Drosophila melanogaster: one gene and its partner. The protein of the gene in region 2 purifies or fractionates together with the protein of the main gene of each other region. This does not show direct contact. Each region holds a gene or a part of one and is shown on either strand. Other genes may lie near its edges.

Region 1 (7,330 bases), on a different chromosome or scaffold from region 2:
ATTGCCTTAATGTTATTATTATTTAAATATAGCTTGAAAGTAGTAGTTGCCGAATCTATGTACATAGTATCACAAAATAAATTTTAAAAATGACTTTATATTAGAATATAGGCCATTAGAGTATTCTGCTTGCGACATGTGAATTACAATTGCAATGGCCTCCCCGTGTTGTCCCGTGGGTACCGATTATTACATATATTACATATAATTAATTATTAACATAAATATAAATATGTAAACGGTAGCTAATTCAAGAGGCGATTTTAGCAAACGAATATAAAAAAACTTTAAAATTATAATAGTCACGGCGTGAATTTTTAATTATTATTTTATTTCATCATATACGATACAAAAATGGCGAATATCCATTTCTTGTTTCTTTAAACAAAATTGATTTCGGCCCGAAAATCGTCTTCTAGCACAACTACACACACATACATATATCTATTGTTTTTACTCACACAAGCAAGCAAATTCTATTTTTAGATTTCTTATGCTCTCAGCGTAAGCGAGGGGACAACAGAGCGCAATTTTGAAACCAATGTATGGCCGTTACGCGTCTTGTTATTCCAGTGTCTTTGACCGAAACCTACAAAGACAGAACGCTATAGCTTATTTCCTCGACTAACAGATATCTCTTACTTAGACAGTAGGAGTAAGAGGTCGAAATTTCGGATTATGGATTAATAAAATATATGTATTTTAAATTACAATTTTATAGCAGTTCGATCTGTTTCAATTACCTTAAGAAACCCCTGAATATTTTAAATTTTAATTTCATTTTTTGAAATATTTTTTAAGGAATTTAGAAAAAGAATAAAAGGTTTAAAAACTCAAGTAGACGTTTCATTTTGTATTTAAAAAGCACACACTTAGCTAATATTTTAATTGATTTTTTAATTATAATTGGTTTTTGGTCAGAGTGTTGTTTAGTTTTTAAATAAACTTCTTTCGATTTAATTTTGATGTATGTATGTTGCCCCTTGCATTCTTCATAATGGCTGCCTTTAGTAAATATATTGGTCATTGTACTATAATAAATAAATATAATTATGTGTAATATAAAAATAACACATTTTTCGTCATGATTCTTACATTTTATTTTCACTTATATATGTTATGTTGTCTTATATTTTTTATTAAAAGTTTATTTTGTAGTGTGCTCGATTTTTAATCCAAAACTGTGTTACATAATGAGACGTATTTTTAATTACAATGAAGAGGATCAAAAAATTAAAAGATTACCATTCCTTTTTCGGAGTAGACAATGTCACAAGAGCTCGTGCTTAGCATTTGTTGGGGTCAATTGCTTCCAATTTTTAAAACCAACGAATATTTAAATATTTTTTTGTAATCAGAAATTTATCAATAGATTCTACATGACCTTGCTTAATTATCACATAAAGGAAAATATTTGCGCGGTTTAAGAGCTGGAAGTTCCTAAGTTTACCATTAACCTTTTTATTGATATTATTTTGTTTCGCTTTTTAATACTGCATTCTTAGCTTCACGGCAGCAGCGTTGCCAATGTAGATTTTTTCCTACTAGAATAAAAAAATACAGAATAAGCAATCATTTGCGTCATTGTGAGTTGTGAGTGCAAACCAACAAAACTGGAAAGGTGGAAACTAATTTATAAAATCAAAAACGTTTTCCCGATGACAAGCGATTTGTTCTTAGCTGGGAATAACACTATTATAATAATAATATTATACTTATATAATTCCTAATAATTTGCTCCAAGCATACATTTTTTTTTTTGTAAAAAGAAAATTAAAATTAATAAAAAGTAAGTAAGTAAGAGCTGCGTATCATTGTGCCGTTTGATATTCCAAATTCCTAATAAATTATTCTCTTATTGAGTTGAAAAATATCCATGTTTGTCATTATATGTGTTGTAAAGATTATAGACAGTTTAAGTGTACACATTAACCTCTTTGGTCAATCTAATCTAACTTTTTGGTAAGAGATGGTTTATCTCTTTAGCATCTCTTATCGCAGCATTTTCTGCGGCAGGTCTGGTTATGTTTCGAGTGTTCACGTCGGCTGTTAACGGATTTTTGATACATTGTTGTTATGTGTAAACAGTTCTATTTATGTACTTGTACATGTTGCACAGCGCAAATATTGTCGATTAACCATGGTTTCCCGTGCTAAGTTTCGATGTGATGCCAACCAAGTATAAACTAAAGATCCTGTGTTATACCAAAACGAATTCGGCGTTGTCAAGATCGATGTTCCCGATTGCTCTTCAGTTCACAAAGAATTTTCACAGTAAATAATGTGATAGCAGCATAAGTTTCATTAACTATCGCTTTGAAATATAGTCGGTTAACCGAAGTACACCCTTGCAAAGTGACTACACAAATGGATTGATGAAGCATTTTTATAGGGGTCAATATCCAATGCTAAGTGTTGAAAAAAATCCACAAATAAAACTTCAATATCTGTAGTGGTTCCCTAATTTAACTTATATATTCGGAGAATAAATGAAATTGTATATACATATGTACGTATGACAGGATCAGAAATCTCTCTGAGAATATATAAAAATCGAATCTTCAATTCAGTCAAAATTTAAAACCCACCGATATAATCTATTTAGTGATACTTATTTAACTAAGTGTTAATAATTTACAGGTCTTAATGACGGTTGGTCTTAATTTACAGTTGTAGAGAAATTCAATAAATTATTAATAAGACAATTGATTAGCAAAATAGCCATTCGTTGGACAAATTTTCCAAAAATTGTTGAATAATAATAATCAAATTTTTTAAATTTATATAATTTTAATAGTAAAAAAGGTACATAAGTAAAATTAGTATAAGTATATACATAAATAGTCCCAAACACTACGTGGCGTTGAAGCCTCCATGCCATGAGAAACCCTTAATGAAATAATTTAACATTAAACATGTTATGATTTTAAAATAATTTTATAAAATTTTAGCCATCGTGCCACATAAATCAATGTTGTTCAAAACTTTGTGTAGAGATAGGTGGGTCTGTAACACTCGAATCAAAAACAATATTAAGATAAAAATAGCGCGCACGGCAAGTGTTGCATGGAAGAAGATGAGATCAATTTAGATTCTTTGGAGATTGCTCTTTTTAACGCGACTACCATTTCATTGATATTATTTTACAAAAATGTTCCTGGAACATTTTAGACTCCATCGGTGGTGTCTTCTTTCTTTTTTCTTTTAACATTAGCCAATTGATTGGATGTGGAATCAGAACTGAAAACATTTAAACGATATCTACATAAATACTTCCGAGGTTTTTAATGGTAAGCTTCCCTTTAATGTGCTCCTTGTGAATACAGCATTACAATGCCCTCTAGCTCGATAGTTCAATTTGTATGCGATAGGCTGATACAGCCGATACTAATAATCTGCTCTAGGACTGATAGTGTACACACAACGTTTGAGCGTTGCCTAAGAAGTTTTTTTTAAATAAATATTTGTTTACATTGACTAATCGATTTTTTGTGTTAAACAACCTTATAAAAAATGCGCTAAACCTAAAATAGCCAAATGGATCATTTTAATTTAAAAATATTTATGCACCTACAGTGAATCAGCGGCATATAAAATTAATTCGCATTAAATTCAATCGATATTAAAAAGTTTATATATTAAGGAGAGAGAATGTAGAGCTAAATAATAATAAAAATGACATATGGGGAATTGATGCCCAAACTCAACTACAAACTGATCATACACAAAACCACAAATAAATATGTTGCGAAAGGAATTGTATTGTGCAAACATTATACATGTTTTACATGTACTGTGTATTATTATCATACTCGGTTCTCAGCATTATTGCGTTAACTGCATTGAAGAACTGCCGGCTCAGGCGTTATCTCCCTTAAATGACATAGTCGCCCAGTTTAACTTGCCATCAATACCAGTTCAATCAACAGCTTCCAGCTATGGCAATCGATCAATTGGAAACAATATAGAAAGTGTTAGAGACTCTCAATCTAAAAATTATTTTACTCACATGAGCTTCGACTTTATGCACAATGTTTTGTTTGCGGGTGCTACAAATAAAATACTTAAACTTAACGAAAACCTTCGAGTGCTGGCCGAGGCTGTTACTGGGCCGTTACATGATTCCCCGCAATGTCACGCTGGAGGCTGTCCGGAAGATATTGAGACATCGCTTGTCAATAACTTCAACAAAATTCTAGTAGTAAGCTACGCTCACGATGGTATTCTCATAGCGTGTGGAAGCATTCGACAAGGTAAAATAGCAAACACATATCAAAATAAAAATAAAATACTTAAGTCGGCGACTTCGTATGGGACCGAAACTCCTGACATATCGTATTGGTTTATAGAAGTTATTGGTCATTTTTTGTAGTCATCGTAGAACAATGTCGCAGTGTTTTTGAGCTCCACATAAAAAAGCGGCGAATATAAGTAATTATTCAAAAGTGCGGAAGGAATATGATGATAAACAAAACAGGATTTTAAAATGTTATAAATTAAAAAATCTATAGTTGAACTCTTGAAACAATTTGGGTAGTATTAACGTTAAAGTATTAAAATAAAACAAGATAATATGCTATAGTCAAGATCTCCGATACTCAGCTAGTGTGAATGCGAACTCGAAATCGAAATTTCATCATTTTTCTGGGATATCGATAGATATTGGGGAATAAAAGAAGAAACAATTTGAAAAATGTTCAATAGTGTGGGCGTGACCGGTTTGGCGGCTTTAGGGAGTTAGAGTAGGCGTGGCAAAAAGTTTAAGCAACTAATAAAATTAAAAAAAATATTCTAAAATGTTTGCAAAAATATGGGCGGGCAGTTTTGGGCATAATATTACTTCAATCATGCGATGCGAATCGTCTTTAAAATACTTTTCAACGAATCAGTTAACAATTTTTACTGTTCCTGAAATCAATTCTGATCGAATAAACGAATTTACATATTTGGTAAGTTTTGGCCAATTTCGTAGCAATATGATGAAATTGCGCTCTTTTTTAGGAATATCAAATTGGAATATAACAAAAAAAAAACTGAAACTAAACAACTGAATCTAATGTGCATTTTAAATAATAAAAATGGATCATTTTATACATCATATTAAAATTAAAAAAATTTCATAAAAATAATACGTAGTAGAAAATAAAAATTTTTAACATAAATAAAAATATGAAAACTGTTTATTGCAAGTCATATGTATCTTGAGGCACGAAGTGCGGACACAAGCACTCAACAATCATTGCCTTATTAATTTTTCACACGTCGAAAGCTGAATACTCTAATGAATATAATAATATTATAAAGTCATTTTTGAAATTTTTTTTTGTGATAATATGTACATAGGTTTGACTCTTTCTAATCTATTTTCAAATAATAATAACGTTAAGGCAATGCAAAACAAGAATTTTTCGCATGGTGCCAATTGATCAAAAATAATATAGATTTAAAGTCTATGAACTTCTAAGGTGAAGGGCATATATTGTCAAATTTACAATGCATGAGCACACGTGTGCACACACACAGATGTCTGGTATCACTGTATGCGTAGAAAAGAGCTGTTCGTTGTAGCGCTCTCCGCTCTCTCGCTCTCGAACAAAAATTCGAGAGAGCCTGGAGCAACCTCTAGAGCCACGGCGAGAAAATCGTGGGCTAAGGACAGGCAGACGGACATGAGTAGATCGACTCGGTTAGTGATCAAGATCAGGATTTTTGATATTTTATAGGCTCGGTGACGTTCCGTTCTACATGTAGTATACATTTTTACTTTACAAGTTACGGGTATATCAAGTCCAATGGATACTATGACTTAGGTGTTATATTTTGTCCTTAAAATAGGTTTTAAAAAATTCCGCGATAGTAATAAAATTATCTTTATTTTCAGGAGCCTGCGAAATTTACAGCCTGCCACGTTTTCCGGCAACGCCCCAGTTTTTTGCAGTTCCATTGGCTGCTAACGATGAAAACGCGTCTACATATGCATTTGTAGGTCCGGCGAGATATGCGTGGAAAGAAGAGGATATTTTATATGTGGGGACAACATTTACGAATGTTGGTGATTATCGTCATGACGTGCCAGCCATTTCGTCCCGCCGACTTGATGATTTAAACTATGCTGAATTTTCAATACAGCAGTCAATTATAAATATCGATGTAAAATATCGGGATCATTTTCTAGTCGATTATATTTACGGCTTTAATTCTTCTGAATATGCGTACTTCATAATTGTTCAAAAAAAATCACATTTAGCTGATGAGGCCGGTTATGTAACACGCTTGGCACGCATTTGCATTACAGATCCTAATTACGACAGCTATACTGAAATAACTGTTCAATGCACTGCAACTGAAAACAATGTTGACTACAATATTGTAAGGGATGCGAAAGTAACTCCAGCCAGCCACAAATTGGCGCAAAAAATGGGCATAAAAAAAGACGATCACGTTTTAGTAACGGTTTTTTCGCCCTCAAGAGAAATAAGTAATCAGCCAGAAAGTAAGTCTGCTATGTGTATATATAGCATTAAAGATATTGAAGACATGTTCATTGAAAATATCCATCTGTGTTTTAACGGAACCACAAAAGATCGAAATTTGGGCTATATATCCGGCACCATTAATGATGGCAGATGTCCAATAGTTGGTTCGCTCGGTAACATTTACAACTTTTGCTCTGTGGGACTTAAAATAAGCGGAGTATCCCCAATCACTGCACACGCACTTTTTCATTTTGATAATGTTTCAGTTACGTCAGTCACAGCAACTTCAACGACTGATCAGCAGCATTCTCTTGCATTTCTTGGAACGAACATGGGAGTAATCAAAAAAGTTTTATTATCTGGCCAAAGTCCGGGCGAGTACGAGGAAATAGTTGTGGATGCTGGAAATCGTATACTACCAAATACAATGATGTCGCCAAAAAAAGATTTTCTTTACGTACTTTCTCAACGAAAAATAACTAAGCTTAGAATCGAACACTGTTCTGTGTACACGAATTGTTCCGCTTGCTTAGAGTCTCGGGATCCTTTTTGTGGATGGTGTTCCTTGGAGAAGCGGTGCACTGTACGATCAACATGCCAGCGAGATACATCTGCGTCGAGATGGCTTTCATTAGGTAGTGGACAGCAATGCATAGAATTTGAATCTATTATCCCAGAGAAAATACCAATTTCTGAATTATCGCACCTGCATTTAATAATTCGAACTTTGCCCGAACCTTTTAATGCAAAATACCGATGTGTTTTTGGAAATTCCACCCCCATTGATGCCGAAATTCTGGAAAACGGACTCGGATGTGCTACTCCCCCATTAGATGAAAGACCATTAATACCAA
Region 2 (7,446 bases):
CTAACGGACGCCCTTGTCCATGTGCCCAACGGACATCGCATCATCTGCGCACTGGTCGCCAACTTTCCGGATTGCTATCGCGACGTTGTGTCCCATGTGATCGCCAATTGCGACGAGGATGGCAGCGATGGCAAGCACCGGTTAATGCTGCTCATGGGGCTCAGCGAGATGAATCCCTCCCAGGCGCTGGCCAACAGGTCCATGTGCGTGGATATGCTGAAGGTGCCGTCGTTTATGCTTAAGCTCACGCTCAAGCATCCCGAGGATCTGGTGAGTAGGGTAATATTGACCAGTAAGGTGCAGATTTACCACAACACTATAATCGTTAGGAAATTCTTTGCATTTCATTTAAATTTAACGTACATAAGAAATGTTTTTTGATCATATTTTGTTGATTGATCTTTTTTGTTTGGAGTACCATTCATTTGGAGTTCTGCTTATTTTTGTGTAACATGTGTTAAGCAAAAGCAAAAGCGAGAAAATGTTGCTTAGCTATCTCGCTCTAATTCGCTAGAGCGATTGAATCTTATTTGGACGTATGACAATATTTACGAATAATGAGATAACAATGCAAACTTCAACCACTCCCCACAGATAGCCTTCCTCACGGGCCTGCTGCTGGGCAATGACCAGAATCTGCGCTCCTGGTTCGCCGCTTACATCCGCTCCAGCCAGAAGCGGAAGGGGGACGCACTGAATCTGGTGCGCGTGGAGCTGCTACAGAAGGTGATTCAAACGACGACCAATGCGGCGGAGCTGCGCGACTTCAATCTGCAGGGCGCGGTGCTGCTGCGTCTGTACTGTGCCCTGCGCGGCATCGGTGGCCTGAAGTTCAACGACGACGAGATCAATGCTCTGTCGCAGCTGGTCACGAGTTGTCCGCAGGCGACGCCCTCGGGCGTGAGATTTGTAACGCTGGCGCTGTGCATGCTCATCGCCTGTCCCTCGCTGGTGTCCACCATTCCACTGGAGAACAAGGCTGTGGAGTGGCTGCAGTGGCTCATACGGGAGGATGCCTTTTTCTGCAAGCGCCCCGGTACTAGCACCTCGCTGGGTGAGATGCTCCTGCTTCTGGCCATTCACTTTCACAGCAATCAGATCTCGGCCATCAGCGAGATGGTCTGCTCCACGCTGGCCATGAAGATACCCATCCGGCCGAACAGTACAAACAGAATCAAGCAGCTCTTCACACAGGACCTGTTCACGGAGCAGGTGGTGGCGCTGCATGCGGTTCGCGTACCCGTCACTCCGAATTTAAATGGCACCATACTGTGCTACCTGCCGGTGCACTGCATCCAGCAACTGCTGAAATCGAGGACATTTCTCAAGCACAAAGTGCCCATTAAGTCGTGGATCTTCAAGCAAATATGCAGTTCGGTGAGGCCAGTGCATCCTGTGATGCCGGCCCTGGTGGAGGTCTTTGTCAACACGCTGATAATACCCAATCCCACCGGAAAAGTGAATATTGATCACATGCACCGGCCCTTCACTGAGGCGGAAATTCTGCACGTGTTCCGCACATCCAAGCTCACATTCTTCGCCGAGGAGCTGCCACCGATGGCGGAAAGTCAGGAGCTCAACCAGATCGAGGTGACGTGTCCACTAACCGCCCAGCTGCTGATGATCTACTACCTCATGTTGTACGAGGATACGCGACTGATGAACCTCAGCGCTTTGGGTGGTCGCAAGCAGAAGGAGTACTCCAACAACTTCCTGGGCGGACTGCCACTGAAGTATCTGCTCCAGAAGGCGCACCACTACCACAACGACTATCTCTCGCTCTTCCATCCGCTGCTGCGTTTGATTATCTCCAACTATCCGCATCTCAGCATGGTCGATGACTGGCTGGAGGAGCACAATCTGGCCCAGGGCAATTCCACGGTGGTGGTAAGCAAGCATGAGCTCAAGCCGGAGACCCTGGATCGTGCACTGGCCGCCATCCAAACGAAACCGCATCTAGCCATCCGCGTGTTTAAGCAGCTACTCCAGATGCCCCCAGAAACGCAGGCGCAGTATGGACAACAGCTGGTGAAGCATCTGCCGATGGTGTTTGCCAAGTCGGTGCCGCGATACGTCAAGGATCTGTACAACGATATTTGGCTGCGCCTGAATGCCGTGCTGCCCACCACCCTGTGGATCATGTCGCTGCGAGCGATTACCAACGGCTCGGATACGATGGATCGACGTACCTTTGCCAACGAGAGTCTTCTGGAGCCCATGGAGGTGCTAAGGTGGGTTGCCTCGTCATTTTCGTGTGTTGTTTCCTAAAATTCTTTCGCATTCCTTTTGATCAACAGTTGTCCACGCTTCGTATTCTGTTCGCCCTATTTGCTGATGATCCTGCTGCGCATTCTGAAGGGCAGCCTAGCCGCCTCGAAGACCTATCTCAACGTGCACATGCAGATGCAGCAGAAGCAGGTGCTGGACAAGAATGGCATGATGCAGACGGATGCGATTTGGGAGGACCTAAGGACCACGCTGATTGCCTCGCAGGAGAGCGCCGCCGTGCACATTCTGCTGGAGGTGCTGGACTACATAGCCAGCAAGGCAACGGATCGGGTGTCGCATCTGGAGCTGCGTGAGATACAGGGCATCATTGGCACCTATGTGCATCAGGCATTCATTTCGGAGCCTTCGCTGGCGAAACTAGTGCACTTCCAAACGTATCCAAAGTCGGTTATTCCCATGATGGTGGCCAGTGTGCCATCGATGCACATATGCATTGATTTTGTTCACGAATTCCTCAACGTGACGGAAATGGAAAAACAGATCTTTACCATCGATCTGACCTCCCATCTGGTGCTCAACTATTCGATACCCAAGAGTCTGGGCGTCTCGAAATTCTGCCTGAATGTAATCCAGACGACGTTGTCCATGCTGACCGCATCGACCAAGTGTAGATTCCTGCGCAATGTGATGCCAGCGATGGTTCGTTTCGTGGAAACGTTTCCCATTCTGGCCGACGACTGCGTCAACATCCTGATGACCACCGGGCGCATTCTGCATTCGCAGTCATCGCTGGGCATGACCACAATGGAAATGCCACTCACCGATAGCGACAAGCTCTGCACGTATCGGGATGCCCAGCTGCACATCATCATGATCGAGGACGCGTTTAAGGCACTGGTCACGGCGGTCATGAAAAAATCGGACCTGTATTAGTTGGACTCGATCCCGCCTTGTTTTTCATAGTCGTAAGCAACCTTTCCCCACTCCGCCCCCCGGCTGATTATAATAGTGCTTGTAAAATTTATAACAACATTGACCAGAATAAATACTTATTGCAAAAACCATTTCTATATAACTAATTAATTAATTGAGTTTAAATTTGGCGCCTCAAATAAATATATAACTACGCAGCTGTTATCGGAATCTACTTTTATCGATAATATACTTTGGTTAGCGAGTACACATACCAGATATATCTATCGTTCCCGGCCATGCCACCCATACGCGTATCGGGTTATCGATAAAAACTAACAAGCATCGACATTAGTTCCAGCTCTAGTTTTTGTTGTTGTTAAATTAAAGCTCGGATGTGAATTACAATAATTGTGAGTAGCGTTCGTGCGTGCGTAATATGCGAATCGACTGGCATTCGGCATTGAGTTTTGTGTTTTGATTCCTGAATCGAGTCAGGACGTATCTGACCTGCTTTTTCAGTGTGCGTTTACGATGCTGATTCGTAATTGTCCTTTGTATACGTTGTGTACGCGCTGCTCCTCTCTCCTCTCGCTCTCCCTCTCCCGCTCTCCCTTGTCTTGAGTGTGTGCGCCTGCTGTGTGCGTGTGTGTGAGTGAGTGAGAGTTCCATGGTGGGAAAATAATTATTAAAGCAAATACAACAAATACAATTGCTTAGTATTTTGTCAAGTGACTGGCTGGAAAAGCCAAGAAGCACGGGCTTCAAGAAAAAGTGTCGCCGAGGCGGATTAAACTTGAATTCTTTGTGCGCAGCTGCAGGTAATTGTTCACACACACAGAACCCACGCACACACACGCAGCCAGCGAGCACGCAGAGAGAGCGAGATGCCCCGCTGCTGGGAGTGTGTGCGCCAGAGCGGGATGGCTAGGCGGATGCGGCAACAGTGTTTTTCTTTTCTGCAACAAATCTTAAAATTCGTTTCCAAAAATTGTATGGTGTTTTGTCTCTCGTCTTTGCGCTCTGCCGCTCCCGCCGCGCCCGTTTGTGTTTTTGTAATTGTACCGTTGCACATGCACTTGCAGTACTCTCTCTTCTCCTCCCCTTCCTCCTTTCTTTTTGCCTTTGTCGTTGTTGTTATCACTGGATCGTTGCTCTCCGTTTCTTGCGCTGTGGCTGTTGTTGTTGTTAGTTGTTAGTTGTTGTTGTGCAGCGCGGAGAATGTACAGGAAATCTGTTGCAGATCCAATTTCGCTTCTGCGCTGCACTTGCCCAGCATGTGTGTGTGTGTGTTTGCGGTGGTTTGTACGCCGGAAAAACTCAATTAAAGGCCAGTGGGGAATTTATTATTTCCACTCTCATTGAAACGCACAACCACACACACCCACATTGTTGCACTCCCACTCGAGGATAACAGCAACAAATTGGAGTGCACTAGCAACAGCAACAACAAACACATTCACATCCGAATCCACCCACGCGCTCTCTCTACTTTCCACTCTCAGTCGCTCGTGCTCGCTCACTCTGACTCTGATTCTCTCTCTTTAGAGAGTTGCGCCGTGTCGTTTGCAGCACCAAAAGAAGCGCTGCGACAGAACAACCGCCGCAGTCAGGACGGAAAAAGGATTTGTTGCAGACTGACTTTCCCTACTTGCCGAAAATGTTGTATAAAAACTAGCCATATAAATAAATACAAAGATCAAACTAGCAACCCAAAAGAAAGCAGGTAAAAAAGAGCCCTGTGCATTTTTTGTGAAATCGCGATTCGCGTATATTATTCGCTGGCCAAAAATCACATGGAATGAATTTTCGGGCAGCGCCGGCATAAGAAAATCGCTTGCGCGTTTTTCTTCTCCGTTTCTTTTTTTTTTTTTGTCACATCGCAGCAGCCAATCTCTCGCTCTCGCTCTCTCGTGTTTTTGGACCCCCAATCCGTGGATGTATCCGTAACTGCGTAGTTGTAGCCAAAAGGAACTCATGACAAAGTCCTAGACTGGCGAAAAGTGTGCGGAAATGTGAAGGTCCTGCGGCCAATTGGAGCAGACGGCGCGGAGGACACGGGGCGATTCTCCAACTCGAAGGTTATCTTGGATAATAGTCATCGGCTGGCATCGCAAGCCAGCCATTTGCCGTGAAAAAGTGACCAGAAATCGACGGTTTTCCATTCCGTGTGTGTCCGGAGAAACTGAGAGGTTATCCCTGAATATCCAAAGATATCCATAAGCTGACGTTTTCACGAAAACACATTTGTATATATCGAGCCGAGCCAAGGTCTATTCTACGCTATTTTTCTTTCGTATATCCCTATAATAAGGAATATATCTTTATGTGAAATCCTGAAAAGCATATTATCCATATGCATATTATCCTTTTCATACAACGTTAACAGGTTATCTCCTGTGATATTTTAAAATATTACCTTAACAACCGATTGAATGAATCAATTTGCGATGGATACAATGTTACAACATTGTGTCATGTTGATAGGCATGTGAGGAAAAGCGCCAGTAGATAACACCTTATCGATATGATAAGGCACAATCATACATTTGAACGAAAACACCTGCAGAATACCAAATCCGGAATTACCTATTCCATAACACTTTTAGCATTTATCTGCGAGTCTATAAGCCAGGTATCTAATTCTCTCCTTCGACTTTTGAATCCTTGCAGGAACGTCAAGATGCGTCAGTTTAACATCTCGGTCATTGGACTATCCGGGACCGAAAAGGACCGCGGGCAGGTGGGAGTGGGCAAGTCATGCCTGTGCAACAGATTCATGCGCCCGATGGCCGACGACTACTTCATCGATCACATATCAGTGCTTAGCCAAAGCGACTTTAGTGGCCGGATCGTGAACAACGACCACTTCCTTTACTGGGGCGATGTGCGCAAGACGACGGAGGAGGGCGTCGAGTACCAGTTTAATATCATCGAGCAGACGGAGTTCATGGACGACTCCACGTTCCAAGCCTTTAAGGTGGGAAAGATGGATCCATACTCAAAGCGGTGCACGGCCACCAAGGTCTTCTCCGCGGAGAAGCTAATGTACATATGCAAGAATCAGTTGGGCATCGAGAAGGAGTACGAACAGAAAGTCATGCCCGATGGCCGGCTCAGTATCGATGGCTTTGTTGTCGTCTTCGACGTTAGTCCAGTGCCCAATCGCAGTGTGGAGAAGCAGGTGGAGTTCGTGCAGAATGTCATCGCAACCATACTAAAGAACAAGAAGCCACTGGTGCTGGTGACCACAAAGAACGACGACGCTTATGAGTTGTATGTTCGAGAGGCGGAGAAAATTAGCCAGCGAAAGGACTACAAGAGCACTGTGCAGCTAATCGAGACGTCGGCCCACGAGAGCATCAACATCGATTTGGCATTCCTCCTGCTCGCCCAGATGATCGACAAGGTTAAGAACCGTGTCAAGATCATCTCCTACCAGGAGTCGGCCAAGTCACGCAAAGAACTGCTGGACACACGATCCGAGGCGGTGACGCGACTAATACGCAACCAGATCACCGACTATCACGTCCTGTGGTCGCAGGGCTCCAAGATGCTGTCACAGTATCGCGAGTGGAACGAGTTCCTCAACATATTCGGCCACGAGGCCGGCCAAAAGCTATTCCGGCGGCACATGAAGAAGCTGCGCGACGATCATCTGAACAAAAAACTGCATCAGTACTTGGATAAGTTTGCCCTGGCCCTGGAGTACCTGCTGCCGGACATCGGGGCTTTGAATATCAGCGATGACGATGCTTGGGAGTGCGCCAGGAACTATCTGCAGAATCACATCGAGTTCGAGCAGTACTTCTTCGAGTGCCCGCAGGCCTCGTGGACGGAGCTGGTGGACATGGACGAGGCGGAGGATGAGGCCCGCATTCCCTTTGATGTGCTAGAGACTTCCGAGGCAGAGACTGTCTTCCGTAACTACTTGAACTCGGTGCAGCAGGACAAGAAAAAAATTGGGTGAGTTCAGACCAAACGTGTAATTTCATTAAGGCATTTTACAAATGTAATGTATTTTACTGTAATTACTGTATTCATTGATTCATTGAACTCTCAGTTATATATAAAACCTTTCTATACCATTATATAATCATCCATAGATGGAAGCAGCAATTCAAAATGCTACTTGAGGAGTCGGGCTTTGTGACGCCCGGCAAGCAGCTGTCGGAGGTGCGCGTCCTCTTCATGGGACGCGAATGCTTTGAGGCGCTTTCGGAGCACGACTGCCAGCAGATCTACGACATTCACCAGGACGACATCATTGAAAAGAGCAAACAGAATTTTGTGGAGCTGCTGCTG

The links. The genes of interacting proteins can lie anywhere in the genome.
Region 1: the proteins of RhoGAPp190 (region 2) and PlexB purify together in Drosophila melanogaster (affinity purification with western blotting, with the first as the bait; one study listed by BioGRID). This does not show direct contact.

The regions. Positions count from the first base shown.
Region 1 is NC_004353.4:39,837-47,166, reverse strand, and holds the start of PlexB (plexin B), read left to right. Parts: upstream 1-3,388; 5' UTR 3,389-3,742; coding exon 3,743-4,253; exon of another isoform or gene 4,254-4,393; intron 4,394-5,881; coding exon 5,882-7,330.
Region 2 is NC_004354.4:17,648,607-17,656,052, reverse strand, and holds the start of RhoGAPp190 (Rho GTPase activating protein p190), read left to right. Parts: upstream 1-3,490; 5' UTR 3,491-3,554; exon of another isoform or gene 3,555-3,962; intron 3,963-4,742; exon of another isoform or gene 4,743-4,867; intron 4,868-5,152; exon of another isoform or gene 5,153-5,333; intron 5,334-5,814; 5' UTR 5,815-5,824; coding exon 5,825-7,107; intron 7,108-7,247; coding exon 7,248-7,446. Other genes in the region: IntS2 (integrator 2), read left to right, coding at 1-270, 595-2,231, 2,298-3,162. UniProt on the Drosophila melanogaster protein: GTPase-activating protein (GAP) for RhoA/Rho1 that plays an essential role in the stability of dorsal branches of mushroom body (MB) neurons. The MB neurons are the center for olfactory learning and memory.